4 linked regions of the Saccharomyces cerevisiae S288C genome follow. The protein of the gene in region 3 interacts with the protein of the main gene of each other region in a biochemical or structural test. Each region holds a gene or a part of one and is shown on either strand. Other genes may lie near its edges. The genes, in order: BOL2, CMK1, GRX4 and BUD32.

Region 1 (8,195 bases), on a different chromosome or scaffold from region 3:
GTAGAATGGTTGTGGTGGTAATGGCACAGAAACCTCCATCGCTACGTCCACACTTACGATGAGTGGTATACCTATCGCTACGATAATGAAGCACAGAAAAAGTGTACTTATCATATTACCGCAACTATGTACGTGAGGTGTAAATTATGGCTCTCATAGGACATAAGTAGGACAGAAATTGAAATTTTTGTGTTGGCAGAGCGAAAGAAACTTGAATTCGTTTATGAGGAATAAATTCTCAGCTCCATCCATGGTTCCAGTTGACGCTATGATACGCAAATTCCTTTGTGATACAGGTATCATTTCTGCAATTCCTCGTAGATTGTTGATCATACCATAAGATTGATGCTGGGGAAAGTGGAGAAGCTAACTTAACGATTGAGGCCTTGGCAAACCCTGTTAAACCAGTACTATCGGCCTTAACATGCGACTTAGAGAGAGAGAGAGAGAGAGATGTTTGCGTTTGCGTCATGATAGAGATGCTACATCCACATAGTTGTTGTAGACATGTTTAAAGGTACAATTCTGCAACAACGCCTTGAAATTTTCCAAAACTAACCAAGCACATTGGAGTTACGCTTATATAGTAAGCCACTTCACTTGCGTTGCTGTAAAGGTTGATAACTACAGGTAGGAATTAATGAATGTTAAATAAAAAAGGGAAATACCATCATCTCGACAAGAAAGGCAAAATAACTTTTCAATCTCACCAAGACGCGCGAACGAAACTCGTGCGTCTATATTAGTATCTTGACGGCGCTTTTACATCATTAAAGGTGTAATAAAACTGAAGTCATGCGATGGCACTGAAATAATCAAAGTAACTATTTGTGATGGCATGCACTGTGATATGATCTCAAGGAAAAAAATGCAATGTCGGGCGCCAATACTTATGATCATGCTTAGTCTCGACATTGACCTTGCTTGCTACAGTAATCTGGTGTCCGAGTAGTGACATCTAGGTACCGGTGAGAACTATATCTTCATTACTACACTTGTCGCCCCTGAATATTATCGCTACACACGCGAAAGAGCTCTTGTTAAAGTTACTCTCGCATCATTGCGGTACATGTTTTGCATATTCATCTGAAGTAGGAAAGGGTATAAGCAGTATATGATGTACCATCTGCATAAGCGGTGTTTAATGCGTACCTATCGTTTAAGAACAAAAGGAACACACCCACACCCGCTCCAATACCATATTGAGAGAATAATGAGGTAACATATGCTTCTATTTGGTTCGATAAGACGGCTACTAGTCCAAAAAAAGTCAAACAACAATTTCAACAGCTACATTCTGAAGATAGAACGCATTTTTGCCTGAATATTGCAACTCAATAGACATTCTAAAGTGCTACGAGAAAAAAGCTTGTAATGGACCATGGCAATGTGCGCCATATATATATGCGGCTCCCTTATGAGTAGAAGAAAATATATGACTGGTGGTACAAAGTGGCATGGTGGTATATAGATGTAGGAACACCATTTGAGTTTGCCATAATGATTAAATTTCCCTTTTTATAAAGAATTAGCCGCCCATAACACGAAAAATATCACAGTTGACGAAAGAAGACACGTCGCCTAAACGCGTAATGAATCGCAATATACGAAAAGCTAAACGGGTTTTTCAGAATCCTCTTACCCAGCCTTGGATAATAGTTTTGGCCGAAAAAAAAAAAAAGAAAGAAAAAAATTGAAATTTCGCGATCCGAACAAACAATGAACAGAAAAACAGAATATATATAACGCTGCCAAGCCTATTTCTTGTTGCCGATTAATTGTTGACATCCTCTTAATTACCAAAAGAGCCTAAGAAAACAAACACACTAACCACACAGTATCTTTCGCCCGAATGTCTGAATTGAAAACAGGTCATGCAGGCCATAACCCTTGGGCTTCAGTTGCCAATTCCGGTCCGATCTCTATTTTATCCTACTGTGGTTCCTCTATTTTAATGACGGTGACTAACAAGTTCGTCGTCAATTTGAAGGATTTCAACATGAACTTTGTCATGCTTTTCGTGCAATCTTTGGTTTGTACTATAACCTTGATTATCCTACGTATACTGGGCTATGCGAAGTTCCGTTCATTAAACAAAACAGACGCCAAGAACTGGTTCCCTATTTCCTTTTTACTGGTCTTGATGATCTACACCTCTTCGAAGGCTTTACAATACTTGGCTGTTCCAATTTACACCATTTTCAAGAATTTGACTATTATCTTGATTGCTTATGGTGAGGTTCTCTTTTTTGGTGGCTCTGTCACCTCCATGGAATTGTCATCATTTTTGTTGATGGTCCTTTCTTCTGTCGTTGCAACTTGGGGTGACCAGCAAGCTGTGGCTGCCAAGGCTGCTTCATTGGCTGAAGGAGCAGCCGGTGCTGTTGCCTCCTTTAACCCAGGTTATTTCTGGATGTTCACCAACTGTATCACTTCTGCATTATTCGTTCTTATAATGAGAAAGAGAATTAAGTTAACTAACTTCAAGGATTTCGACACTATGTTTTACAACAATGTTTTGGCTCTACCTATTCTATTGCTGTTTTCTTTCTGTGTGGAAGATTGGTCTTCAGTTAATTTGACCAATAACTTTTCTAACGATTCGCTAACTGCTATGATCATCAGTGGTGTTGCATCCGTCGGTATTTCTTACTGTTCCGGTTGGTGTGTTCGTGTTACTTCGTCTACTACATATTCGATGGTAGGGGCTTTGAACAAGCTGCCAATTGCCTTGTCTGGTTTGATTTTCTTTGATGCTCCAAGAAACTTCTTATCTATTCTCTCCATTTTTATTGGTTTCCTATCAGGTATTATTTATGCTGTTGCCAAACAAAAGAAGCAACAAGCCCAACCTTTACGTAAATGAGAACTTACGGGGGGTGCAATTTATTTTTTTTTTTTGGTTTATTTTATTTTATAGAGGCATCTAATGCAAGTAGATTTATATACAATTATACTTAAAATTGATATACCTTAGAACAGGTCGGACACAACGTGTGGTAACTCCAATATATCACTAATGACAATAGCGCCTTCTGGTGTTTGCCCCAAAATTTCATTTACTTCATTCTCAACTAAATGAATACATGTTTTCATGCCCAATTTGATACCTGTCTCGATGTTTTTCCCACTGTCATCTATAAAATAAGCATTCTCGTATCTTGCCAACCCGCTTTCCTTCATGGCTTTTTCAAATGCTTTAACATGTGGTTTGCAGACCAGCGTATCTGTCCTAGAGTAGTCACAATATGTCAATCCATCAAATAAATCCGCTATACCCAACAATCTCAGGCAACGTATTGCGTGGTTTTTATAAGCGTTGGTGAAAAGCCACAATTTATCAATCTTTCCCGATTGTCTCAATCTCAACAGCATATTCCTTAATGGTATATCAGGTTTCAAGATATCTTGTAGTGGTAAGGAATCATCCACAAGCCGGTTATATTCCAGTGCGTTCACTTTGTGGAACATTACAAGTCCCCTTATGGCAAGTCCATACTCTTTGTAGTAAGAGTTATTCAAAACGTGAGCATCTTCAGGTGATAGTTTCAAGTGTGTTTGAAAGAACCTCAGTATAGATTGTTGCATAAGATCGTGAATTCTCGTGGATGATTTATAGAGACAGTTGTCGATATCAAAAAAGAAAACTTTTAAGTTCGGGTTTTGAGGTGTAGCAGAAATATCTTGATCGATCGGAAATGTCACTTTCGAACCTGGATGAGTCAATGATTCAAGATGTGCTTTATTCTTGGCAATTTGTTCGTTCACCTCATTCTGATAGGTTGCCAAATCGGATGCAGTATATTCAACAGTCATGAAGCCTAGTAATGATTCGGTCCAAGAGCTTACTCATGTATTCCGAAATTAATTCAGGTGAAATGGGGGAGTAATATGATATCAAGAAGGCGATCACTTATTGAAGTCCACATAGATACACACAGATAAACATATATATATTATGTATATATATATATATATATATATATATATATATATGTATATATCAACGCCCATACCATTATCATTATCAATAAGTTTGCGAGGCGGGTACCCTCCCTCGTGCTATTATATTACTGTTGCCTTAATTGAGTAATTTGATCGATGACTAATTGCAAGAGATTGTGATTGTTGTACGAAGTTATAAAATCATCCACAACACTCGTTGAGTTTTCCAGTGGTGAAGGTAAGCGGGATGAGATCTGAGTCTTAAACTCTTGCAATTGAGTAATCAATTTATTTCTCAAATCTGTCAGTGTCTCTTGAGGGCATTTATACAATTCTAAGTTTTGTAGGATTTCAATCGTAGGCTGCACCGTTTGATAAATTTGCAACGTGGTATCATTGGTTAAACCTTTTGAATAGAATACCGCTGTATCAATATATTGTTTCAATGCATCATCATCAAGTGGAGATACAGTGCCATCATTGAGGTTCGTATCATTATCATGGAAGATATCTAATTTATGAAGAGTTTCAGGCTCCTTAAGCTTGGCTCTCAAAGTAGAGAGTGTATCCAAATGTGTGTTTATTTCTTTCACGGTTCTCCGAATGAGATGGTCTCTAAAGGTGGACGAATTCACAAAATCGACAACAATCGCGTCCTTATATTGCTGATTGGAGTGATATTGATGATCTTTGCTGTTGGCACTTGATATCAGTAACGCTTGAACGTTATCGTTAAATAGTGTCTCGAATAGGGATTCATTGAATATAGAAAGTAAATCATCGTCCCACTTCGAGGAAAACTCCGTGTTTAGTAAATTGTATAGTTTTACCCACTGTAGTAAAGTTAAGTTTAATGTCTTCATAGAGTCCACCAAGAACTTCTGTAGTCGACAACATTTGTCCTTGACAAGCGCTTCAAATTTGGAAGGAACTGGTATCAAAGATAATTCGTGGAAATTCAACAGTAGCTCGTCGAATATCCGCGACGGAGTAGTGGAAGTAACTATACGATTACAGAAGTTGTTGATGGAGATGGTCCAATTTGAAATTACTAAAATGTTTTGCGATGGTATGCTGACTTTTTCTTCGTCACGAGGTGGTGATATATGGGTAGTGGTTTGGTATGGTAGTGGAGTTAACTTATTCAACTGAAATTTTTCATCATTGAAACACAGGGATTTAAAATCTTGATCAACATTTTTCAAATTGAGCGACAAGTCATTAACAGAATCGGTCAAGCTTAAGATCTTGTTATAGTTCTTTAGCAAATTCTTTTGGAAGGCCTCATTGGTTTTAGTCAAATCGTTCTGTAACTCCAATTGATAATCTTTAATCTGTGGAATATGAGAATCGCGAAACAATGGTAAGACTTCATCCATTTTCTATCGTATTGGTTTTTTTTAGGTTTTCTACCACAAGATTTGTTGTACGAATGTGTTATTTATTATTCACCGCCATGTTTCATTTTTCTTCAGCATAATGATGAACTGTAACAGAAAATAGGAAAAAAAAATTGTCATCTGAGAAATTGCTTTGGATGACCAGATCCAAAACAGACATAAGCATTCGTATAATTGGTACATAGGTATATATCAAATAAAAATATGCATTATTCTAAAAAAAAAAAAAAAAAAAAAAAAAAAAAAATCAAAAATGTCTCTCTAAAGGGTGATTATAAAAAACTTGGTTTGGGCAAGTTTTTAGCCTCCCTTGGACCATTAGTGGCGAAAGTGGAGCCTGCATAAGAGTGACTGAGTTTTTTGGCACTGCCATTACAACCCATTGGTATTATCCCTTGAGAGCCATGCGGGGATTGTTTCTGGTTCAGAAGCAGATTCTTTAGGTTCTGACTCAGTAAACGAGTATCATCTTTGTTGTTCTGTCGTGGCGTTTCTTTATTATTCTGTCTGTTTTTTTTACCTAAAGTAGTTGTAGAGGAAGGGGAAGAAGGTGGAGAGTGCTTCTTTTGATTAAATGATGGTTTCTTGTTGGAAGAATGGCCGAAGTTAGGTTTCTGACCGTTAGGAAGAGTTTGAGGAGGTGGTATATCTGTGATATAGTTGTTATTATTGGCGTTCTTAGCAGCATTTCCCCTCGCACGATTATTTCTAGTTTTTTGTTTGATTAGATTATTTGTCTTGTTCCTGCCAGCCGATGGCAACAGCCTGGAGCTGTTGAAATACATGGTATCCGTCGACATGCCTTGTAATATTTGTGTGAGTATATTTGTGTGCTAAGTGTAATTACGTTACGCTTTGCTGAGTACTTCGTCTTCAATACAGAGTATGTTATTGTCCTTGTTATTTGAAGACTTTTACCTTTTCTATCCGTATTTCTCTATCCGATACAACAACATCATTTTACACGAACAGCCGGATGATAAAACTGTAGTACGTATGGTATTTGTGATATCCTATATAGCCATATAATTACTAGCAGCTATGCAACAGTCAAAGGATCGCAATCCATTTTGCTTACGACTACTTCGTGGCCCTCATCTTGCAACAAGCCCTTCATAACGTCTTGAAGGAATCCACGCTCAGTATTTGAGTGGTTGCAAACAATAACGGTCTTGCCCATTTCTTTCCACTTCAGTACTTCATGATGTGACATTTCTCCCGTATAGTAAAGGTCTACGTCCTCTTTTAGTTGCTTAAACACGCCAGAACCGCTCCCGGCACAGACAGCGACTTTTTTGATTTTGAGTTGATTCCATGCGGATGGAGCAGCAAGAGATGCTACTTGTACATAGGGAACCCGTAAAACACGCTTGACATTTTTGACAATTTGCTCCAAAGAGATGTCTTTATTGAATTCTACGAATCTACCGTAGCCAATCAAGTCGTCAGTTTCGCCACTTACAGTTTCCAAGGCATAAGACTTTGCGACGTTCTCTCCGTTGTTCAAACCCCTAACCAACCAGTCATTTACACCGCCACGAGCGGCATCTACGGCAGTGTGAGGGCAGTATACGGATATTCCGTACTGGATTAGCTTTATAGCTGTCTCGTGTTGTGGGTTTGTATGTGGGCTTAATCTGTTCCAGCTTGGGAAAATAAAAGGATGGTAAGCAACAATTACGTTGCAGTTAGCATCCACAGCTTCTTGAGCAACTGACTTCGTGAGGTCTACAGTCAAAAGGACCTTTGTTTTAGCGTTTGCATCGGCAGTGGTGACTTGTGCAGTGGAACAATCGATGAGAAGACCCGTATTGTCCCAGCTCTTGTCTGCGTACTTTTGAGGGTAGAACTTGGTAATGCTACGCACAAGTTTGTCCAATTGTGCTCTAGTAATAGCTCTGCTCATTGCGTTTCGGTGGACTCTTGTTCTGTTTCCTTCCGACTGTGTATTGGAATAAGTTTTTCGGTGTTATATATATACATATATATGACAGGTGAAAGAATTGAAAAGGTGAAAATAAATGACGAATTTGCAAAATCACATTTCCTAACAACTCAGTGGAGAGAAACAAAGCGCCAACGACACTATAAGATGCCCGTTACTGAACAGGGACTCCGCGAGAGGATAGAATCAGCCATACCGCAAGTTTACCATATCATTGTGACGGATCTTTCGTACGGTTGTGGTCAGTCGTTTGATATTGTGGTGGTCAGCGACTTCTTTCAAGGTAAAAGCAAACTAATGAGGAGTCGTGCAGTGAACAAGGCTGTGAAAGAAGAGCTGCAGGAGATTCATGCCTTTAGCTGCAAGTGCTACACTGAGGAGGAATGGTCTAAGATTGTGGTATGAAAAGGATGATATTGTTCTATTATTAAGTTTCGAAAGGAGACGGCATTGAATCTTTTTGGCATAGACGATTTTGCTTTCTTACGTTATTTACATCGGAGAGTATGTATTTGTGTAGTTATGTACTTAGATATGTAACTTAATTTAATGATATGGTGGGGGGCTATCCTCCATGCCCCATTTCCAGTTATTTGAAGGTTCTTGCGAGTTCAAACCTATGAAGTAAAACGGTTTCTTTTTAGATGTATCTTTCTTGGAGTCCAAATTTAGCGATATTTTTTCTGGTATAACGTATTTATCCCTTATCGATACTGTTGTTTTCAAATATGGGGGAGATTGTTCTTCAAGCTCGGGTATCGGTGTTTGGACCGGTGTGGACGTAACTGTTTCAATAGCAGTACTATCATCAACAGCCTGTTCTCCTTGTGATTGTAGGTTCGATGGTGTGCGGGTCTTTTTGCATTTGATCTTTCTTCTCCTTGGTTTGGCATTGTCGTCGTTGC
Region 2 (7,355 bases), on a different chromosome or scaffold from region 3:
CTGCTCTCGAGTACGTTTAATATATAACACCTCGAAAGAAATATTACCTGGCCCTTCTCTTGAACGTTGGTGGCTGAGTCCTAAGGCAAGACATACAATAGGAGGACTTTTGATTTCGATACCGGTTGCTACATGTTTGACTTTCATTTCTTTTGCACTTCCCTTGGTTATTATTTTTCTTTTTCAGACTGGAGGAACTAATGTCTCACTTATTACTTCCAACGCTATATTACACATATTGACACTTTTATCAACTATTTTTGCATGCACCGTGATCCTGTTACTTTGCATGCACCGTGATCCTGTTACAATTTCATCCTTATACGACTTGGTGTGGCTGGCTAACTGTTCCCTGTTCCCTCTGCTCGTTATTGGCGTGCATTTTCTCAGTTTTAGGTTTGATACGTCTGCGCAGTCAGACAGAAAACATAGCTAAAGAAGCTAGTATAGAGAACGTAGACAGTATTCTCAAACTATATGGAACGAGTCAAACATCAAGTTCCCTTGGCGAAAATTATCCACAAACAACTAAGGGCACAGACCAATCTGTGTATGACATCACAAGTCTTTTTAATGATCTACCAAGGACCTTAGATCCCAATCAAGATAAACTGGCGGTAACAAATCAAGATGAACCACCGCCTGAAATCAAATCTCCATTGAAGCAAGCAGGTTTGGTGAGTTTCTTCGCTCCAAAGTTGAATGGTAAACAAATATTTTCTAGAAGGCATGTTGAAAATCAAAAATCCTTATCTTTGGATGAAATCAATATAACCGACTTACCTGCAAAGCAAGAAAATGTGGAAATGCCTACTGAAAAAAAAAAGGCAAATATTTTATATTATGAGGGAATCTCAAGCCATTCACAAGATAACTACGACCCTCCTTGGTTATTTGGCGTTGAGGCTACCCAATCAGCCGATTGCTTTAAAATATATTCAAAAAAAAATCATTGTCTCACAGAGCCCCGCCAATATCAACTACAACAACCAAATAATTACCAGGATCAAAGTGAGGTTCCTCATAACTCTTTCATTCCTTGGTATTCCCGAAGAAGACCAGTAGGATACAACCACAATTACAATCGCTACTACTCACAGACAACTCATGGTAACAGCGAACACTCCCGACAAACATTGCCACAGACCTACAACATACACAGCATGCTCCCCAGAAAGTACAAGCCCGCCTACAAAAAACAGGCACATCGTGTGAAGAGTAATCCACAACCAGCTTATACTTTCCAATGACAAAATAACAAGAATAAAGTACTATCCAATCTGCTTTTTTTGTACGCGTTTTGTTGGCGCGCCGCAATTTGAAAAATAAGAATAAAGTACTTCTTGCTACTATTTAATGATTCCATCCGTATTCCACATCGTTGACGTCTGAGTCTGATAGACTAGTATATAGAAAATAAAAATAAGATAGAGTAAATAGTATGCTACTTTTATCGAGCCCATCTTTTTGAGCTTAATTTCTGAAACAAAGAAAGGAAGTGCCCATTTTTCCTCTTAACGGTTTCTAAAATTACTGAAGAGAAAACAACTTTTAGATGTAATTTATTTACATTAACATTAGCAGTGACTACAGAGGACAGGTATGGCGGTATGGCGGTATTTGTTAACATTGACTTTCCTTATGCGTGGAAGTACTAGTAATATTCCCTCTCGGATCATAAAAGTGAAATATCGTGCTTCACGATTTGCTGAAACTTTAACAAATTCATTGAAATTACGTGAGTTTATACTAATGAATGGACTTAATTTCTTAAGATGGTGATATCTTCCACATTGGTTTCGGCCAACAAAACTATCACTTACCAAGTACTTCAAGCAAAGTTTGCAATCCCCTATTGTTTATGGATTCTCCATCCAATTCTATCCAGAATTTGCAGCAAGAAGCCCAGGGCAGCTCTTCCGCACAGCTTGCTGACCATGATCATGATCGCGTATCAATGGCTATGCCCTTACAAACCGATCAAAGTGTTAGTGTTTCACAATCTTCTGATAATTTAAGGAGATCAAGACGTGTTCCTAAGCCAAGAACGAGCATTTATGATGAATACGAGGAAGAGTTAAAGGAAAGGGCGAATAAACCCAAGAGGAAGAGACCTGCTCCTCCTAAGAAAAAGGCACCTTCCACACAGAACTCTAAATCAAATGATAAAGTAGAGAAAAAGAAGACTACCTCAATTGCTAAGGATGGCAAACCTACACTGAAGACTAATGACAAAAAAGTGGCGCCGAAACCTAAACCAGCCCATGAACAAGTAGAACCCGCTTTGATCCCTAGCAATTGGACTTCTGTAATACCCTTGCTTACTTCTGATTTCAAGAACCAGTATAGTGTCATCTCTAGGTTAAAAAATCCGAACATGAAGCCTGTGCCATATGCTGGAGATATCATTAAGCTGATGGCGTTCATAAATAAGTTTAGTTCTTTTTTCCATTCTGACCTACAAAATTTATCATTCCAAGATTTTGAGGTCGGTTTAGATTTGTATCCCGGCGATCCTAATGGAAGCGCAGCTGGTATAGTGAAGGGTCCTGAAGACACCTCCTTATTGCTATATCCTGATTTTATGGCCATCAAGGATATCGTCTATTGCCAAGACAAAATGAATTTACTGTTCCTATCCTTGTTAGATTTAACATTTACTGAAAATTTTGATGGTAAAAGTGCCAAGAAGAAAGGTCCATTAACAACCTGGGAGAATCTAAAATCGTCCTCCAAGAAAGTATTTTCCAATCCTCTTTATCGGTTAAGACTTGTAGCTCGCGAATGGGGGTATCCACGAGAATGGCGTCAACAACTCCCCAGTGACCAAGATATCTCCAAACCTAAAACTGCTCTTTTTGAACAAGATGAACAAACACCAGTGGTGGATCCCAGTCATCCAGAAATTTTAACGCCAAATATATATACCTGGAATGCTAATGAACCACTCCCATTGGAATCAAATCCTTTGTATAATCGAGAAATGGACAAGAATGGAATTTTGGCGCTCAAACCAATGGATCGCGTTGTTTTATTGAGGGCGTTAACTGACTGGTGCGCTTCCCATTCATCTGCTATTCATGACGAGATATACAAATTAACTCATGGTAAAAAAGATCCCGTTTTTGGCATCCAAACACAACAAGTGCCTAGGTATACAATTGAAGGGGTAGATAATACCATAAATCAGTTTAAAAAACTCTGCTCACTAATTCAATCAAGATATGAAATCAGAAGTAAGAAAAAACATTTTGTTAAACAACTAAAAGAGGGTAAAAAACCAGATTTATCAAGGAAGCTAGAAATACTGAAGGAAATTAAAGCGGAATTGAAGAACGCTGTAAAATCCGAAAAGGATGAACTTTTGTTCTCACTGTACGACAAGTGGGTCCCATTGTTTGAAGGCGAATTACCTGATCAACCATTAGCCAATCCTTTTTCGGAAAGACTTTATAAATTGCGATTACAAGAGTTCTTCCTTGGTAGAGTTCCCCATATAGGTGATTTTTATATGCCAAGATTACACAGTTATGGGGACTCACTCGAAATGAGCACCTTCACTGATTTGAGAAATCTACAAGCATTGCTATCGAAATTCAAAAATAATGAATACAACGCTTTTACACTGTTTGAAAATGATGGACAATCGATGAGTGCCCAATTCAAATTGTTTTACCATGACACACCATCGTTGGCGCATGATGTTGCACGAGGCAGAAATACATCGGGGAAGGTTTATTGGTATGAATTATGCCACGATTCAGCAACACTGCTGGAGTTCTTGGAGTTCTTGGACTATAAAATTGTTAAACCTCAAGATGAGAAAAAGGAGGGAAATGAAAAAGAAAAAGAAGCACTGAATAATGAAGCGCACATATTGGAGCAGAAATCTACCACTGATAATAATCCCTCCATAAATACAAACCCGCTACCAAAAGACGCAAAATATAACACTGCGAGAAAGAAGTTACAGATATTAAAGGAATTTTTATCTGATTACTATTTCATTCTTCGTCAGTTTGAACAAATGAAAGTGCAATTTGCAGACATGAAGCCAGGCAAGAGACAGTTGAGAAGGATACAGCGACAGACTGTAAACTATAATACGGAATATGATAGCGAGGAATATGTCGATGATGAAGAAGACGACGAAGCTGATATTTATGATGACAACGACAATGATTCTTCTTTTGATGATGGTAGAGTTAAAAGGCAGCGCACTTAGACAACTAGCTTTCAACGAACGTGAAGATTGTGAAACTCCTTACAGGCTGCATTTCGATTAATTAAGTAATGTAAAATTAAGACTATTAGTACATAATTAGATACGCGTATCTTTTCAACTAAGGCATAAAAAAAAAAGGTAGAAAGTGAGGACGAAAAAGTGCAAAATATCAAAGTCAAATCTTGCGCATATTCGAGCTTACAAAGTCATTGAAGATTTATTCGCCAGTGTGGTAAAACGGCATACTGTTATCATTCTTCTGTTTTGGTATCCTTCCCCTCTGGTTTCTCCTTCGCCTCATCCAAAGACTTTATATCACTCCCAGGAAGATCGCTATCAGAACTACAGACTCTGTTAATATTTAAAAATTTTTCCTTTTCGGCAAGCACTGTGTTAACTAATTGTGCAAAAGCTTTGCTGGTTAACTCGGACTTCAACTTAGACTGTTCTTCTTCTGATAGCTTCTTGGATAGTTGACTGGTATCCGTTGCTTTCAATGGAGGAACTGAACCGTTTGCTTGACTTCCTTCGTCAAAATCTGAATCACTCTCTGTCTGTTCAAGATACAGATCTCTTAATTTCTGGATCTTCATGTTTAATCTGACTCTCTCAACAGAATTACGGAACTTTTGACGAGCATCCAATCCTTCCTTTAACCCAGGCAATAAATTGTGCGTCTTCAATTCGGTACAAATAATCCATGGATCTTCCAAGAGTTCTGCGGCGGTCGGTCTCTTTGAAGGATCCAAATTAAGAGCCTTCAAGATGAATTGTTTTGCTTTATTGGAAACGGAATCCCAATAAGGCCTATGAAACTTCACTGGATACTCACCAGTTGTGCATTCGTCAAGGAAATCTTGAACCCTTTCGGCTCTAAACGCCGAATAACCGCAAAGCAAAGTATACGTAATGACACCTATCGACCAAATGTCGCAAGGTTTACCATGACCGTCCTGAGTAAGTACCTCTGGAGCCACGTAACCCAGTGAGCCTGCCGGCTTATAGAGGAGTTCCTCATCACTTTTCAATCTCTTTGCGATACCAAAATCAGCAACTACCAGTGGAGATTCGTCACTTTTATCTATATACAGTAAATTTTCCGGTTTCAAGTCCCTATGAACAATATTCTGAGAATGCATATATTTGACTGCGCTCAATATTTCAACCAAAATTCTCACTGCATCTTCCTCAGTGAACTTACCCTTCTTCAAAATCCTATCGAACAATTCACCCCCTTTGGCTAATTGCGTGATAATGTAGAACTTGTCTTTTGATTCAAACCAATCCTTAAATGCCACTATATTTGGATGATGCAGTCTTTGTAAAATGTCTAACTCGTCGTATAAAGCCTCTAGCTGAACCTTGTTTCCCTTTAGTGCTTTCTTGATCAGGATTTTAACGGCCACGTCCTCCCCTGTTTCAGTGTTTTTGGCTTGTCTCACCACACCAAATGTACCAGCACCTAATGTCTTCCCAAAAACATATTTTTTTTTATTCACGTACGAAGCAGGCTGCACATGTGCCATTTTACCTTCAGAATCCTCCTCTGTTTGTTTTGGGGAGCTCTCCTTTTCTGAAACTTTGTCGTCCATAGTAATTGACTCGTTATTTTTTCTGGTGTCTTCCAATATTATATAATTGTGAGTTCTCTACGAGAATTGAAACCATTTATACTCTGGCTTGTAGTCGATGTGGCTTTCGTTCTTTTTATCCCCTGCGTAGGTAGCTCGGCTGCACCATTCTAAACGCGGGGGGAGTTTCTTTTTTTTTTTTTTTCAGCCTTTTCTTCGTAAGCAAAGTATCCCACGTAAAAGGTTCCTTATACTAACACATATGTACTGTAAAGGTAAAATTACTTCTATTTTTTCTACTGCTATTATTTCTATGTACTTATACAAGAATAACAGAACGTGCAATACTAAAATTAATTTGATGCTCAGCTAAAAGAGTAAGATATGTTAGCAGAAGTTAAGATGGTTTTAATTATCCTCGTAGTATGCAGACGTATCGTTGTCATCATCGTCATTGTCGATGGCTCCATTCGTGCTCAAATTAAAATAGTCATCTGCATTATTAGCATCTTGAAGGGTACCTAAATCGCCCGGAGTCATGTAAACAGTACTATTGGACCTTACTTTGGGGGATCCGGGTACACTCAAAGGCCTGGCAATCTTGAATTTCTTGCCACCGGCAAGAGTATTCATATTGGCGTCACTAATTGTTTCACCCACCAGTTGCTTGAACTGCTCTGGATAGGCCCTACGAAGACCCAACTGTCTAGCCTTAACGTATTCCAACCCCATTCTCTTCCAATCTAACAAGTCTGATAGTCTTTCGGTTCTGTTTCTTTGGTTGATTCTTTGTCTTCTGGTCTTGTTTACAAACTCTTCCATGTAGTCTGCTAATTGCTCGACAGATTCATCAGGGCTCTTGAAACGACGGTCTACAATATAAATACCATAGTCTTTCGCTTGGTCTGTTTCAATCAAGTCTTCCATGTAGGCACCGAACCCAGAAACGTTTGTTGTGATAGATGGGACACCCATGACGGTACATTCTGCTGGCGTGTACCCCCATGGTTCGTAATAGGATGGAAAAACACCCAAGTGACAGCCGCGAACAAACTCGTCATAATCCAAACCAAGGATAGGGTTATTGGCGTTTAAGAATTCAGGATGGAAAATCACTTTTACACGATCACTCGAATCATTGAATAATCTAACATGTCTAATTTGGTTTAAAATTGGATCGTTAGCATCATCGCACATGTTATGTGTGACTACCGGAGGCAATTCCCCGTAAGGTCTTCTCAGCGCCAATACCCTTTTCTTCAGCAAAACCTTTTCAGAACTCTTCAACAGCTCATCTAAATTAGTGGGCAACTCTGATTCTAGGCCATTATGAGGGTATCTCATCGTATGCTCGAAAATTCTCTTCCCAATGGATGCGGTGACCTCATTAACAGTATTTTCCAAAGATTTTACAATGGCTTGGCTTTTCAGTGCCTCCACAGTGAAGGAATTGGTTTTGGCAGGCATGATCAAAAACGCTACCACCGTCTTCTTGGATCCAGAAACCTTCAATCTGTAATTGAGACGAGCCAATGATTCAATGAACATGTCAGCACCTT
Region 3 (8,315 bases):
GGTTATTTGATTTTTTGCCAAGTGCATTCTTTCTGCCAGCTGAATTTAGTTTGGCCTCTCGCGGATTCTTATTACCCGTTTTATCATTGCCCTTAGTCTTCTGGCCAGCATGGTCTTTTTTCCCTTTTTTCAAACCAGTAGTATTAGTACTGCCCGACCCGTTTCCATTCAAAGCTTTTGGTTGCGGTAATTGGTGCTTATCCACTGATTCGTTCTTGCCTTTCCCTCCAGAGTTTGTTGTAACGTGGCTATTGGTATTTTTTCTGTCCTCTGGTATAGGTTGGCTGTTACGGACATTATTTCTAATGTTTGTTTTCCTCTCTTTCTCTTTTCCTATCCCATTTCCACTATTCTTTTTGTGGTTTGCCTTATTTCCTTTCCCTTTGTTTCGATTTGATGGGCCAGGATTACTTCTACTAGTCTCTGATTTGCTTACTTTTGCTGCAACTACTGGATCGCTTTCCACCGCTTTGAAACCTTTGAAGTTTCTTAGATTGGAACTACTAGAGCTTTGAATGGTACTATTTTCTTTCTTGACTTCATAAGCGATTCTACTTATTTTGGCCTCGAAAGTTTCCTTTTTCTCCTTCTTAATCTTAGCACCCTTCCTGCCCTTCTTTCCTCTACCAACTCTTCTGCCGCCCTTTTTTCTAGGCTTTCTAGTGCTATTCTGTGTTTCATTCAGTCCCAAGTAGATGTATAGGAATCTTCCACTTTTTTCAGAAACAAAGTCTTTAGCTCTATTCGATTTGGGCAAGCACTTGTCACATAATACTTCTCCATTTCTATTTGCATTCAAGTTAGACTCTTCCCCACACTCATCACAACAACATTCCCTGACTTTCACGTACTTTTCCCAAAATTTCAATATAGAGCCGTTTTGTAATGAGTAGCTAGTTGATGGACGCTCCGTTTCTGAATATTCTTTCCGAAAACACGAATTACAAAGTAAAACCATGTCTTCACCCCCAAACCTGATGATTTGAAGTTGGTGTATATTTTTATCTTGACATTCCTCACAGCAAATATCTTCATCATTTGAAGTGTCGAATACAGTTTTATGCCTCGTACTTGAGAGATGCTTCATCATCTGCTCAGCATCATAAGCCTGGCTACACGTTCTGCACTGAAAATCCATCGTGTAGTACTTCTTAGTCTGCGGAACTCCTTATATTGTCACAACTTTGTTCGAATTCTTCAAATGATGAACTTACATTATACATCACTCTTGAGCATTTTAAGACTCTAAAATCGCATACAAATAGCATCCATTACCCGACTACACAGGAATAAAATACGGCGGAAATATAAAAAAAAAAAAATAGCGGCATCTTCAATATCTCTGTACTGATTACTAAATAGACGGTAACCAATTCACGTTGCCGATCGAGGTGTGACACATCACTGTCATGTTCATTTTACAATTCTTATTGAGTGAGAGCGCTTGTATAGAATTTCTATCTTTCTTTTAAGAGGTGCAGTTCAAGTAGGATTTAGTTGGAAATGATAACTTGTTTGAGTAAGCTTTGGTTCCGCTTGTTATGACCTGCTTCATTCTCATATAACCTCATTTGTTAAAAATCTAAAAAAGAATCAATTTCTTCGATTATAAGTGCGTACCAAAAAAGCGGCTAATTTTGGTATTTGTGATATCAAATATACATTGCAACCCAATTTTCATCATTGCGCTTGAGTTTACTATTTCAAGTCGGTGTGGTGAAAGGTCTCTCCAATATTTGGGTACCAATTTATCGAAGCAGCTGAAATTTTACGATGTTAGATCGATTCCCGTGTCTGACAGTGTTTGGGCTGCAAATTTTTTGTGCTTCTTGAAGGCAACATGTGAGATCGGGAAGTAAAGCCCGCCAGAGTATGTTCTCAGTAAGTCATATTGACATAACACTTGGATCAATTGCGTATTTAGAAATTAATTCCTGTTTTATTTTAAGATGCTGACATTTCAATTATAGATTTTTAGCCTGTCTTATACCACCTAGAATAATTTGCTAATGTTTAGAAACTGATCTTGGTGCTCACGCTAATATTAAAAAATATACCCTGCCTCAATATCATTATGAGTATTTTATTCTCAAATATCATCCGCGAATTTTCTTGCAGAATATTTCTACAACCACGTTTGTTTTGACTAAAACAGATAAATGTTTTATGTAGTCTCATGCATTGTTAAATGACCAATAAAAAGGGTGTTCCATCAACCTATCTAATCAGAAAAATTAGGTGCAATTCTGCCGTTGTTTACTATAAATGAATCACACCTTATGTGTTGATGTTCATGACTCACAGTAATATCCTTTTTTTTTCTGGTTTTCCGAAAGTTTATCTTCCTTATTTTCATTTTTAAAGGAAAAGGAATGTAACTAATTTAGTATGTTTTCGTTGTAGCAGTCTTTATTAGTTGTTATGAGAATTATCTCCTAACAAGATAACAAAATAAGTGATAATAATGTCTACCTTTTCTGCTTCTGATTTCAACTCAGAAAGATATTCATCTTCAAGACCTTCTTATCCCTCCGATTTTTACAAGATGATTGATGAATACCACGACGGAGAAAGGAAATTACTCGTAGATGTTGGCTGTGGACCAGGTACTGCCACTTTACAAATGGCTCAGGAGTTAAAACCATTCGAACAAATTATCGGAAGCGATCTCTCCGCTACCATGATTAAGACTGCAGAAGTAATAAAGGAAGGAAGTCCTGATACATACAAAAACGTTTCATTTAAGATTTCTTCAAGTGATGATTTTAAATTCCTAGGCGCGGATTCAGTAGACAAACAGAAAATTGATATGATTACCGCAGTAGAATGTGCTCATTGGTTCGATTTCGAAAAATTTCAGCGATCTGCTTATGCCAATTTGAGAAAAGATGGTACTATCGCTATTTGGGGTTATGCGGACCCAATTTTCCCGGACTACCCTGAATTTGATGATCTGATGATTGAAGTTCCTTACGGGAAGCAAGGACTGGGACCCTATTGGGAACAACCGGGGAGATCTCGCCTTCGTAATATGCTGAAAGACTCTCACTTAGACCCAGAACTTTTCCATGATATACAAGTTTCATATTTTTGTGCAGAAGATGTGAGAGACAAAGTAAAACTCCACCAGCATACAAAGAAGCCATTGCTAATCAGAAAGCAGGTCACCCTAGTGGAGTTTGCAGATTATGTCAGAACCTGGAGCGCTTACCATCAGTGGAAGCAGGATCCAAAGAACAAAGATAAAGAAGATGTAGCAGATTGGTTTATTAAAGAGTCACTAAGGAGGAGGCCGGAACTTTCCACCAACACCAAAATTGAAGTTGTTTGGAATACTTTTTACAAACTTGGCAAAAGGGTCTGAAAATTTCAGCCAATAAGCATTATATTCGTGAAATTTTAGTAAGAGCGCGCGTTTTAATTGGTGAAGCCTCGCGACGTATTCACAGATGTCCTAGAAAAAGTTACCATATCTGAAGACTGGTTGATATTTAGCTTAAATAGCATATTAATACTGTACCAGTTGAACCATTTTTTAATCTGTTACTGCCAGGAACGTTGATTCGTTTTCCCGGTAACATTGTTGTCTTTGGGTACTGAGCATATTTCATTTTTCCACTTACATATAACTAAATTTCTGTGCTCTTCCTCCAATAAATATGACTGTGGTTGAAATAAAAAGCCAGGACCAATTTACGCAACTAACCACTACAAACGCTGCTAATAAACTCATTGTCTTATATTTTAAAGCTCAATGGGCTGATCCTTGCAAAACTATGAGCCAGGTGCTAGAAGCTGTTAGTGAAAAAGTTAGGCAAGAGGATGTCCGGTTTTTATCAATAGATGCAGACGAACATCCAGAAATATCAGACCTTTTTGAGATTGCAGCCGTACCATACTTCGTCTTCATTCAAAATGGTACTATTGTAAAAGAAATATCAGCCGCAGATCCTAAGGAGTTTGTGAAAAGCTTAGAAATTCTTTCGAATGCTTCTGCCTCACTAGCGAACAATGCCAAGGGTCCTAAATCTACGTCTGATGAGGAAAGCAGCGGGTCTTCCGATGATGAAGAGGACGAAACTGAAGAAGAAATAAATGCTAGGCTGGTGAAGCTAGTACAAGCTGCACCTGTGATGCTATTCATGAAAGGAAGCCCATCAGAACCTAAATGCGGATTTTCTAGACAGTTAGTTGGTATCCTCAGAGAACACCAAATAAGGTTCGGATTTTTTGATATATTAAGAGACGAAAACGTTAGACAAAGCTTGAAGAAGTTTTCTGATTGGCCTACTTTTCCTCAGTTATATATCAATGGGGAGTTCCAGGGAGGTTTGGATATTATCAAGGAATCTATAGAAGAAGATCCTGAATATTTCCAACATGCTCTACAGTAAGCCTTATTTTGTAATGAAAACTATATTCATACATATATACATATTAATATATATGTATATATTTTTATTTATTAATTTATTCTAGAATGTAATGTGCATAGATTTGTGTGGAATATTTCCTGGGGTTTTCTCGTCAAATTTAAAGAGTAAAAAGTTAGAGTATTTCCAGATCTGAATCTGAAAGGGACTCACTGATAACTGGCGCTTTACGCGGCTGTCTCTGGGACAGAATTTCACATAGAGACTCGTCTTCGTCGCTTCTACCAAATGTTTCATTGCCAATATTATTGCTGTTATCGCTATCGCTATCGACAATAGGGTCATCATTAAAAGAAGTTTCTTCGTCTTCAAGATCGTCGTTAGCCATCATCACATTTCTTTCATATTGGTCAATCAACATGCGAAGCCTTCTGTCCCTTTCCTTTTTTTGATCCTCTAAATGGTCACAATTATTGCTATCATTATCCATCAATGGTGCTAGTCCATCCTCCACAGATAGTGCTTCGATAGGCCCGCCTATCCGATCCACAACGTCGATTCCGTTCTCAACTTTCATTATATCACTAAATTTGTCCATGGTTTGTTTGGGCCCCGAGGAGCCACTCGGAAGATTCTTCAAATAATAGAGAATGTATTTTTTTTTATAACTCTGACACTTTCTAATTAGAGGTGCGTAGTAGCCAAATTCTAGAGTTATATTCCTGAAAGAATGTACCGCGTTGTACTTATAAAGACTAACATTTAACCAATCTTCAGCTTGAACTTTAAATGAATTTTGTAATTTTCTTACTTTCCATTCTCTTGGAAAATAAACCGTTCCATGATTATGGCCTTGTTTACTGATGTTACGAAAGGTTTTGCGCACTTCTCGTAAACCATACTCATTGGATTCTGGTAGACCATTCATATTATCACACTCGCTCAGGCAATCCACAATTGATGATGCATCAGAAATGCTGAATTCGCCTTTATTAAATGTGTTATAGTTCTCTAATATTCCTAATTTGAAATCCTCTTTCGATAACAAATTGTTCGAATTTTCGAAGAGGTTATTAATCATTTCGTTATCGTTATTCGTGCTATGGGAACCATGTATCACCTTCCCAATGGCATGAAAGTATGATATGGTGGATTCTCGGGTTGAAATCGGCAAACTTCCACTTGATGTCGCCCAAAATTGAAGGGTCGTAATGGCCGACCTAATATCACCAGTCTCTTGCGCAATATAATCTATGACTTCCTGTCTTTTATTCCATTTATTTTTCTCCTTCAACATTTTCATATTCTGTACACAAATAAATTTCAAGTGCTTTTTTAATAAAGTGCTGTTAATTGGATTAAACTTAATTCTTTTCAACCTTGGATGCATCAATATTTCTTTGTTCATTATGGTTTCTGCACTAAATGTATAATCAATACCAAATTTGCGATAATTATTATCGTTCTCTGGAATTTCACATTCAGTTATACATATAACAAGGGGAGGTAATAGAGGCTCCGAACTATATAGCCACTGTAATATAAGTTGTTGAAATCGACGTCTGGTATCTATATGGAAGACGTTGGGAAGGTCCTCGATAAGTATTAATGACAGGTTGGACATCACAAGATACCGTGCGCCTTTTAAGAACTCACTAAAGCTTTCCATCTGAGGAAGATCGTTGACTATACAATCACCTCTAAACTCGGTCACTTTATGCTCGTTCGGGGTGCTTCGAAAGGACGTTCCGTTGCTGTTTTGTCTGTATTTAGGAACTAAGATTTTTGAGAGTTCTTTTATGACCGTACTTTTAGAGCATCCACTGGGGCCAGACAGTAGTAGGATCCTATGCTTGGCGTTAGGTAAAAACATGGCATCTAAAGCTTCTTGTACATCTTTAAGTTTTCTTTTATGTATGGCCACTTGCTCCAAACAATTGGGCTTGAACTTTTCGTACCACTGTTCACCGCCGTCGTCGTTGATACTTGGGAGGATACTAGACGTATCTTGCTTGGAAAGAAAGTCATTTTCAGTGCTTCTCGCCTTACGAACTGGCGAAGTCGGTCTAGATGAGCTCCATTTTGTTATTTGCGAGCCCAATGAACTGAGACTATATTGTAATAAGGGCCGTTTGTTCAAATTCGTACTATCCATATCATTCAGACAGGAACAAACTTGATAATTAGTGGTGTTGAATCAAGTACTATTAACGCATTGTGATGATCTCTCAGATATCAATGCGTGTTTGCTTCTTTGACGATCTAATATTGAATATTGTCGCTCTTTACGAGAATATTAAAAATTTATGCTACTAAAGCTATGTCTACTATAAAGGAATAATACACTAATAGAGATAATCTTGAGTAAAATAAGGTGAAGGTAAATATAAGTAATTGCTTTGGAAGATTTACCGTGAGCCTTCGTTATTAAAAATGACTGAGCATGAAACGAAGGATAAGGCCAAAAAAATTAGAGAAATTTATCGTTATGATGAGATGTCCAATAAGGTGTTGAAAGTTGATAAACGCTTTATGAATACCAGCCAAAATCCTCAAAGGGATGCGGAAATATCACAACCAAAATCCATGAGTGGTAGAATTAGTGCTAAGGATATGGGACAGGGCCTGTGCAATAACATTAATAAAGGACTAAAAGAAAATGATGTAGCCGTTGAAAAAACTGGAAAGAGCGCATCATTGAAAAAAATTCAGCAGCATAACACCATTTTGAATTCTTCCTCCGATTTCAGGTTACATTATTATCCAAAGGATCCCTCAAATGTCGAAACTTACGAGCAGATTTTGCAGTGGGTTACAGAAGTTTTAGGCAATGATATACCCCATGATCTTATTATTGGAACTGCTGATATATTCATCAGACAATTGAAAGAAAATGAGGAAAATGAGGATGGTAATATTGAAGAGCGAAAGGAAAAGATCCAGCATGAGCTAGGCATCAATATAGACTCCCTGAAGTTTAACGAATTAGTTAAACTTATGAAAAACATTACCGATTATGAAACACATCCTGACAATAGCAATAAACAAGCAGTAGCAATTCTTGCCGATGATGAAAAATCAGATGAAGAAGAAGTAACAGAAATGTCCAACAATGCTAATGTTCTTGGGGGAGAAATCAATGATAATGAAGATGATGATGAGGAATATGATTACAATGACGTTGAAGTCAATTCTAAAAAAAAAAACAAGAGGGCATTGCCAAACATTGAAAACGATATAATTAAACTCTCCGATAGTAAAACAAGTAATATCGAGAGCGTTCCGATATACTCAATCGATGAATTTTTTTTGCAGAGAAAACTTCGGTCAGAGCTTGGTTACAAGGATACCTCTGTAATACAAGACCTGTCAGAAAAAATTTTGAATGATATTGAAACACTTGAGCATAATCCAGTAGCGTTGGAGCAGAAGTTGGTTGATCTGCTTAAATTCGAGAATATATCACTGGCTGAATTTATTCTCAAGAATAGATCTACAATTTTTTGGGGCATACGACTGGCGAAGAGCACAGAGAATGAAATACCGAACTTAATAGAGAAAATGGTTGCAAAAGGTTTGAATGATCTTGTGGAACAGTATAAATTTAGAGAAACTACACACTCAAAGCGTGAACTCGATTCCGGTGACGACCAGCCACAGTCTTCGGAAGCAAAAAGAACAAAATTCAGTAATCCAGCAATACCGCCCGTCATAGATTTGGAAAAGATTAAATTCGACGAAAGTTCTAAATTAATGACCGTGACAAAAGTATCCCTACCGGAAGGATCATTCAAAAGGGTGAAACCACAATATGACGAAATACATATTCCAGCTCCTAGCAAACCTGTTATTGATTATGAGTTGAAAGAAATTACTTCTCTACCAGATTGGTGTCAGGAGGCGTTTCCTTCATCGGAAACAACGTCCTTAAACCCTATACAA
Region 4 (8,623 bases), on a different chromosome or scaffold from region 3:
TATTGGGGTCACACCACTCATTGACTCACATCCTCTGGAAACATCAAAAAGCTACCAAAAAAGAAAAAAAAAAAAATTCAAGTGCGAAGTTTCCGCATATGCAAACCTTACTTATTGTATAATATTGGTAACAGCAGCTACTAAGCTCCCTGACTCTGATTTCTCTCTCTGTCTCTTTTGAGGAGTACCTTCTGCGCTACTGTGTTCCAATGGTATCTGCGCCTTGAAAATCAATCACAAACGCTCTTGCTATGGCCTGCCTTGGACACGATACGTCGCTGCTTATGCCGCCAGGTGTCAGTAAATGCTCTGACGCACCCATTCACCCCGCGCACTAATTTGCAAAATTTGGGGGCAGTTTGGGAATACTCCATAGAAAAAATCGACTTCAAATCAATTCCGCACAACGTCGCCGTGTTGGCTAAAGTGAACGGAAAATGGACGACATGGTAAAAGAACAGATATGTACATATACAGAAGCCGCGATTTCACATGCCGGCCATTATGGCACACAACCAGGTCTTGTACTGTCACTATGTGCGTTCCGGAACGCCTGTACAGTCCATGGTGAACCATTTATTTATTTATTATTATTATTTTGTACATTATTATTTATGCTATATGTTATTATTATTATCACTATTTAATATTATTATTCGGGTCCAGGTGAAATAACAAAGTCTGGCGCCAGTCACTTGTCTGGGTGCCCGTATTCTCTGTTACAGCGGTATCCCTCTGGATTCTGCAATCGTCGCCGGCTTCTACTAATTTTTCCTTTCCTTTTTGTTTTTTTTTTTTTTTAGTTTTTTATTTTCTAGTTTCCTGCTCGTATTCTGTTGGTTTTTCCAGTGTCTCTCTCCTTTTACAAGTCACCCATTCTCTGCGAAGAAGCGGTCGCACCAACAAAATAGAAAATACCACCGGACGCCGGATCGCTTATTACTCGCAATCATAGTTACCAATCACAGCCGGGCATACTCGGGATCTACCGTAGAATCCTATGCGTCACACATGAGGACAGGTTACGAACCGTCGAAGGCTTCGCGGCGTGTGTGATTAGTATTGTTTTGACCTCATCCATACACCCTGAAATATCTGTCGCATCTCCGATTACGTTAAAAATTCTGGATAATATATAAACCATGAGTTTTCCTTTCTTTGAAGTATGTTCCTACTCGAGATCCTTTTGTTATTTTATTGCCATTTTTTTTTTGTTTCATATGTACTTCTTATCTACTATTTATATTTCTCTATATTAACTAACTCTCCAAGCTATAAGCATACGTCCATATTTACTGTCTTAGAAGTCGTATTCACATCACAGTTTTCCCCCTCTTCGCCTTTTTCAAACTATTTTCCCCCGTGAGACAGCGACTGAAAAAAAAACGACTGCGCAGAAGGCTTATATAAAAAAAAAAAGAAATATTTCTTCACTTTCGAGCATTGAACTATTGTCATTACCTCTAGATGAGCAACAAATTTACAATGGAGTCACCTAAGCATTTGGTGGATGATGTGCTTTTCATATCACCCACCAATGATGGATCAGAAGAAAAGCCTACGGAAGTCACGTTCCAGGAAGATGAAGGCCATGACGCTAGCTTGCATAATCGCAGCCATGACAAGAAGTCGGAACTTGCCACCGAACGGGAAATTATGGCTACTACCACGGATGATGACGGCATCCCCTCCCCTTCCCATCCAATGGAAAAGCGTGTCTTGCGCAAAATGGATATATACTTGATTCCTCTTATGGGGATGCTATATTTCCTTTCTAACCTGGATAAATCGAATATTGGTAACGCAGAAGTTGCAGGTCTATCCAAGGATATCCACCTTGTAGGAACGCAATATAACACATGTGTCACAGTTTTTTTCGCGACGTATGTTCTTTTCGACCCCATAGGTACTAACCTTCTGAAAATTATGGGTCCGCCATTAATGATGAGTATCTGTTTGACCTGTTTCGGTGCTATTTCGCTCGGAACTGCTTGGGTTAAGAATTATGCTCAATTGATCGTTGTCAGACTACTACTGGGTGCCTTTGAAGGTATGATTTATCCCGCTATTAACATGTACCTTTCAGTCTGCTATAGAAGAGAACAATATGCTCTGAGGTTCGCTTTTGTCTTCAGTGCAGCCTGTTTGTCTTCATCTTTTGGTGGGCTGATTGCTTATGGTTGTTCCAAAATCAGCGGTTCTCTAAAGGACTGGCAATACATTTACATTGTCGAAGGTTGTATCTCTTTGGGGTTCGTACCATTCTATGCCTTCGGGTTGAGCAAAAATTTGGAGGATTCGTGGTTTTTCAATAAGGAGGAAAAAGAGTACATTTCCGAAAGATACAAGACTATGAACACTTTTGACCCGGACGAAAAATTTGAATGGTTCCAAGTGTGGCAAGCAGTTAAGGATGTCAAGACTTGGGCTAGTGCTGTGGCATTATTCGGTATCGATTTGACTACTTTTGGTCTAACAGTCTTCTTGCCGATCATCATTACCAGTATGGGGTTCACTAATGTCAGAGCTCAATTAATGACCGTGCCCATCTATTTCCTTACAGCAATTGTGTTCTTCATTTGTGCCGTTTGGTCTGATCGTATAAAGTTGAGATCTCCATTCATCCTGGGTGCTTGTCTGACGACTTCGATAGGCATAGCTATCGTCCTTGGTTCTCAAGTTCATGGTGTGAGATATTTTGGCGTTTACATTCTTTGTATGGGTATTTACGTTAATGCTGCCTGTAACTGTTTATGGTTAAGTGGTAACACTGGTAATTACTTCAAGAGAGCCACCGCTTTAGGAATTAATCTATTTTTCGGGTCTGGTTCAGGGTTGGTCTCTGGTCAAATTTTTGTTGCCAAAGACAAGCCAAGATATATCAAAGGGCTGTCGATTAGTCTGGCCTTTCAAGTCTTCTCCATATTTATGACGGTTGTGCAAATTTTCCTATACAAGAGGGAAAACGATAAAAAGAAAGCAATAATAGATCGCTGTAATGAATTGGGAGAGCCTATTCCATACGACGAAAGGTTAAGCGACAAAAACCCTGAGTTTAAGTACATGTATTAGGCTTGACTTTCTTCACCCTCCACTTTTTTTGCCCCTCGTTATGAGTGTGTTTGCAATTTGTAACTTTTCTTTTATATTTGTATGTATTTTTGTACTAAGCAAATTCACATGAAACTTTGTTTACCAACTTCTCTTTTGTTTTCGTCCCAAACACGTATATTACTGGGAAGATATACATGCCTATATCTATATCTATAAATATACATATTTATATAGTATTATCTCCGAGTTCTAAAGCTCCAGATGCGAAGAAGACGTTCCCGAAGAAGACGTTCCCAAAGAAGAGTCACTATACTCATCATCGTCACTGCTCTCTTCCGATTCGTCTTCATCCTCGTCACTGCTTTCTTCCACCACCTTTATAATTTTCCTTGGTTTACTCTTCCTTTCTGGAATGTCGGAAAAAAACTCGTCCAGGCTTTGCAAACGATATTTCTTCCCGTTTTGAGATGTGAAGGTGTTTACGTTACCTTTACCTGAGATGCTATTGCTATCGCCGTCATTGATCCCAGTCAATTTTGCGTTGGAGCTAGATGTGAAAGATCTTGCTGAGTTGTTGGTAATAAAAGACTGCGATGAAAAACTTTTTTTGTATTTGTTATAGTCTTTCAATTCTGCGCCTTCTCTAATATCGTTACCTGTCTCGCCAACCTCAGTAATTTCAGTATTCCAAGGAAGCATTCTAAAAAATTCTTTTATTTCTGGGGTATGTGTTTCCAATCTTGCAGAAACGATAAAATCGTCACTTCTTGCCGTAGGTTTAGGTGCTTGTAATAGTAGTGACACAATTTCATATTTCCCTGAATCAAACAAGGATGAAATCATCCTGGCTCTATCCCTAATATCAAATTCGTCATCATATTTTGCCAAGTAAAGGACCGCATTGTACATTTGAGAGATTCTTGAACCACTAAAATCATAGTATGGGGGATTTTGGTTATTTTCTTCGCTTCCAGTAACTTGCGCTTGCTTAAAATTATCAATGTCATATGACAACAGTTTTGCTGATAACACTAAGATCTGACATCTTGTCTCAGGACCCTCATTTGAAAAATTCTGGATTAGCCTCCTCAAAACGTCCGGACATATCTTAAATTCAATCGAGGCAATTTCACCAAATAACCAAACAATACCTGCACGAGCATTATCAGCCAAACTCGTTTGAACTGTTAATAAATCTGCAAGCTTGAAGATTATGCGAAGATGTTTTGTAGGATTTTTTTGCACCAGCATCCTGATAACATTCACGTATGCATCTAGGACAGAAGCAGAGAGGTTGTGGGATTCCATATGATCAATTAACCACTTCATTACATGTGATTCCCAACTCGTTGACAATTGGCCACATCGAGATAATGACTTAACCGCCATAATAACAACATTTTCTGGGAAATGAGCACTGGCAACATAATATTTCAATTCTTTGAATATTTCTTTAACGTTTGATTCATTTATTAACGTGGACAAAATTTGGATCTTCCAAATTGATGCCACAATAGGATCTTTGGGGAAAACGTAAAATTTCTTGGTGTAGGGTAAAAATAGTGTCTGGTCTAAGATCGATAAGAAGTGAATTGCTTGTAAAAGCATTTCTTTGTTACCTTGGTTTTCTGTCATGGTTACCGTTCTAACCAATGCTTCAATAAATTTAGTATTTTTCATCTGCAATGGTGAAGCTAACTGATATAGCGCATTGCAACACGATAAAATCACTGTAGGGTTGGAACTATAAATTAAGCAATTCAAACTCTGTAGAAATAAATCTAAATCAGGGTCATTTACCACCTCGTAAGATGGGTATTCAATCTCGTTGTATTTATCTGGTAAAGGACAACTCCTTGGGGAACCTTCTGATGATTTATCGACCACAGTTGGTTTTGGTAAATACTGCTTACAGTACTTGATTAGCAGCTCAATTAAATATGATTGTGACCACGAATCTAGTTGCTTAATTATTCTACAATATCTGCGAAAATGTCCATGCAATAGCTCCAAGTGATCCGCATAACATTCTTTGTAAGCTAGGACAGCACAGGATATCACCTTAGGATCTGTATCTGCCATTAATTCTTTCAGAATATCCAACAATTCTTCATGATAGTCATTCTTTCCAGCCCTATATAATTTGATAATGGCCAAGGCGACTTCACCACGAACCATTGCAGATGGATCTGTAACCAATTTCTTGACAGTATGCAAAATTATAGGTGCTAATGATGACATTTTCATGTCAGAAAGGGCACTCAAAGCAAAGCATCTCAGTTCGGAATTCGAATCAGACAATGATTTTTGAAGAGAATTAATAGATAACAGGGTCAGGTTTGGGTCATTTTCTGCAAATCTAAGTAAATACAGGTGAATAAGTCTTTTCACTTTGGTGTCATTAGTGGTGATATTCTTTACAACATCAGCAAAGTATAATTGAACGTCAATAGAGTCATCATCGGAAGCCATTATAGATATTATTCTCTTCATTGCATCTCTAACTTCTCTAGAGTTCCTAGAATTTAACAAGGTGACTAACTGTTGAGGATTGATGTTTTGAGAATAATAAGTATAGGAGGATTCACCCAGCTTAGAGGTGGCTACCGCGGCAGCTTCCCTCGTTATTACTTTGGCCGTATCCAACGCCGATGCAATACGGTGAATTGAATCTACCATTGCTGGTTGTCCACTTTTCGATTGTTTGCTGTCTTTGGTTTACCTTTCTTTTCTTTATATATTTATATATATGGTTCTTCAAAAATGATTTGTCTGAATTTGTCAAAATCTCAATAACTCGGACACGCTTTGATGGTAACATACCTAAAAGTTATGTACGTTAATATAAATTATAGATACATATTATGTGCAGCGATATACAGGCAGTACGCTAGCATTTATATTATCCTAGCATACTTCTCTTACGACCACGCAACCTGACCTCTTCGAATCTTTTGGTAACTTCTTTCAGTTTCTTGGCACCTTTCGCACCTTGTTCACGATAGACCTCTTCGAACCCCTCCATGATCCAAGCATTGTATTTTTCCGCATGCTTCGAATGTGTACTTAAAATAGCTCTCTCTAAGACGTATAAATCGACGCCTTTATCTTCGACCAGGTTTGAAACTGAGCCCAGACCGAAATCAATCAAATGAGGCGTCCATCTCGCACCATCTCGCACGAGAACAATGTTAGAACTTGTCAAATCACCATGACAGTAGTCATTCCAGTGCAACAACCCAATTTGGCGCCCCACTTTCCGTAGTGTAGTTGCTACAAGATCACTATATGGATCTTGGTCATGCATCCAAAGGAAGTTCTTTAGGTTACTAAAACCGTGCCCTCCGGGAAGATCTTCTCCAAGGAACTCTAACCAAATGAATCCATTGTATGGATCACACGCTATCAGTTGAGGGACACATAGCCCTGGAATCAAGTATAATTTGGCCAATAAACGCGACTCATTCAACGTACGATGTTTTGTTAGTGCCTGGTCTATTTGTGGATGTCTATAACGCTTTGGTGGCCTATATTTGATAATATACTTTTGATGAGAATCCTTTGCTCTTGGGAGATATGGGTGAGTAGTCGTTGTGAAAACAATGGCTTCTGCACCTTGAGAAATAGGTGCAATGTCCACATCAGGAGTCAGGTAGGAAGATACTTTATCAATGAATTCTTGCGTCATAATGAGCAAAGCGTATAACCTTTTCCGCTGTCGTATTCATCACTTATTTGATTTCAAGTAAGGTTATCTTTGTCCTTCAAGTTGGTGATGCGCCGGCGATTTTTTCAACCTTGTTGCTGCTAAAATAATGGAAAATCAAAATAAATTTGTGCTGACCCAAATATTTATGTATATAAAAGGGGTTATGTAATTGTCATTATGACAAATTCAGGATTGCATAAACTCAAGAATGCGAGCGATAGATGGTATGTTGGTCCAGCGATCCATATTACGAGAGTAGTTTAATATTGGGCCCGTATGATAACCTTGGTGTTCAACCAGCACATTTTTGGCGGTAAAGTGGTTACATCCCTCGCTAGCGTCACTCATTTTCTTTGCCAAGATCTTGTTTTGAAAGCTCAACAACTCATCACTACCATAAGTAATCATCACAGAGCACTTTTTCAGAATATCTTGCCACATTTTAGTTTCGAAATTCTTTTCAATATTAACAAAAGGGTCGCTGGTAAAATCGACGTTTGGGTTGTTTCCTACAAACATTCGCCCAAACATCGAATGACTCTTCAAACATAGACCATCCCATTCTTGTGTTCCTTGCATATATTCCTTTTCTCCCTCGTGGAAGAAAGTGGCATTGGCCCAGGGACTTATGGCTATGACTTTTTTCGGGTATATTTCTCTGTGACACTTTCTTAAATATAAAACAATGTTCAAAACAGCATTGCCACCAGCAGAATCCCCCATAATCACTACATTTTTGCACCCCATAGTCTTAACAACGTAATCAAAAATGGCCACATTTTGTAAAATTTGCAGAGGGTACTTTTTCGACTGGTCATCGGTAGCTGTAACGGTATAATCTGGTACAAGAATGGCCATTTTAGGAAAGGCATTTCGCATATTATTCAAGAAAGAAAACGACGTAGGCGTCAATTTAAGAGCATAACCACCCCCATGATAGAATACTAAAACTGGATCTGTCGTGGGGTCAAATCCTTCCGGCATAACATATTGATAAAACTTTGTGCTAACTATTTTGGGTGCGTTTAATTGATGGTCTTGGAAAATATTGTTTTCTGGAGATTTCTGATCTTCTATAGGAATGTTGCATTTGACATATGTTGGACTAGAAAATGTAGAAGGATATAAACAAACAAATAAAGGATTGAGCACGTATTGACAGATGCGTTCATCGAGGATCCAAGAACTTTGTCTTAAAAAACTTCTGTTGACATGGTCAAGGCAAAACCTACGTTTGCGTTGAAAAATGATCTTCATACTGTCGAGGATTATAAATACAGGCACCACTGTGAACAATAGAGCGGCAAATTTCAATCCATGGAACAAATGCAAATGGATGGTACTCAATCGAAAGCCCGCATCATTTTGATCTGCATCCTCACTTGATACAGCGCTAATAATTTCATTCTCTTGAAGCCGATAATATTCAACTTTTGAGTCGAGACCAGAGTTGGCTGCCATTCTTCTTTGAAACCTTTTCCTTTAAAATTGATTTGTGCTGTTCTCATTTCAAGCGACGCAGGGTATTTTTGGTTTTCAGTTTCTTTTTCCCTCAATTCTATATAATTATGGCGCTAACACGTTAAACATTTGTTATTATAAAGCAGAAGTTATTTATCAGAAATCAAATCATGAATATTCTCAGCTTAACACTACACAATTACTCAACTAAAAGAAAGGGTATAAACGTGTTAGCGGGAGAATTGTTTTTTAAACTTGTTTTTATATCAGAGTAAAATCTATATATTAATTGATACACTTTTATCATGTGAAGATTGAAAGGGAAAAGAGAGGAAAAAAAATGCTTCCGATGAACCTTACACTTGTTGACCACCATATTTGGCTCTCCATTCATCGATT

Evidence for each region.
Region 1: the proteins of GRX4 (region 3) and BOL2 form a complex in vitro, tested with the Saccharomyces cerevisiae proteins (one study listed by BioGRID).
Region 2: the proteins of GRX4 (region 3) and CMK1 form a complex in vitro, tested with the Saccharomyces cerevisiae proteins (2 studies listed by BioGRID, with this or other methods).
Region 4: of the proteins of GRX4 (region 3) and BUD32, one has a biochemical effect on the other in vitro, tested with the Saccharomyces cerevisiae proteins (2 studies listed by BioGRID).

What each region holds. Positions count from the first base shown.
Region 1 is NC_001139.9:75,042-83,236, forward strand, and holds BOL2 (Bol2p), read left to right. Parts: upstream 1-7,332; coding exon 7,333-7,695; downstream 7,696-8,195. Other genes in the region: VRG4 (GDP-mannose transporter), read left to right, coding at 1,853-2,866; SDT1 (nucleotidase), read right to left, coding at 2,974-3,816; Golgi transport complex subunit COG1, read right to left, coding at 4,071-5,324; EDC1 (Edc1p), read right to left, coding at 5,618-6,145; NIF3 (uncharacterized protein), read right to left, coding at 6,385-7,251; ERMES complex subunit MDM34, read right to left, coding at 7,837-8,195. UniProt on the Saccharomyces cerevisiae protein: Involved in the regulation of the iron regulon in response to decreased mitochondrial iron-sulfur cluster synthesis. May be involved in mitochondrial organization and biogenesis.
Region 2 is NC_001138.5:168,061-175,415, forward strand, and holds CMK1 (calmodulin-dependent protein kinase CMK1), read right to left. Parts: upstream 5,818-7,355; coding exon 4,477-5,817; downstream 1-4,476. Other genes in the region: DCV1 (Dcv1p), read left to right, coding at 1-436; YFR012W-A (uncharacterized protein), read left to right, coding at 1,164-1,250; IOC3 (Ioc3p), read left to right, coding at 1,862-4,225; glycogen (starch) synthase GSY1, read right to left, coding at 6,205-7,355.
Region 3 is NC_001137.3:534,513-542,827, reverse strand, and holds GRX4 (monothiol glutaredoxin GRX4), read left to right. Parts: upstream 1-3,659; coding exon 3,660-4,394; downstream 4,395-8,315. Other genes in the region: ECM32 (RNA helicase), read right to left, coding at 1-1,138; YER175W-A (uncharacterized protein), read right to left, coding at 2,014-2,178; TMT1 (trans-aconitate 3-methyltransferase), read left to right, coding at 2,465-3,364; RAD24 (Rad24p), read right to left, coding at 4,549-6,528; ATP-dependent RNA helicase BRR2, read left to right, coding at 6,807-8,315. UniProt on the Saccharomyces cerevisiae protein: Monothiol glutaredoxin involved in the biogenesis of iron-sulfur clusters. Binds one iron-sulfur cluster per dimer. The iron-sulfur cluster is bound between subunits, and is complexed by a bound glutathione and a cysteine residue from each subunit.
Region 4 is NC_001139.9:1,011,018-1,019,640, forward strand, and holds BUD32 (serine/threonine protein kinase BUD32), read right to left. Parts: upstream 6,743-8,623; coding exon 5,957-6,742; downstream 1-5,956. Other genes in the region: TNA1 (Tna1p), read left to right, coding at 1,468-3,072; APL6 (AP-3 complex subunit beta), read right to left, coding at 3,304-5,733; SAY1 (steryl deacetylase), read right to left, coding at 6,950-8,224; methionine--tRNA ligase MES1, read right to left, coding at 8,581-8,623. UniProt on the Saccharomyces cerevisiae protein: Component of the EKC/KEOPS complex that is required for the formation of a threonylcarbamoyl group on adenosine at position 37 (t(6)A37) in tRNAs that read codons beginning with adenine.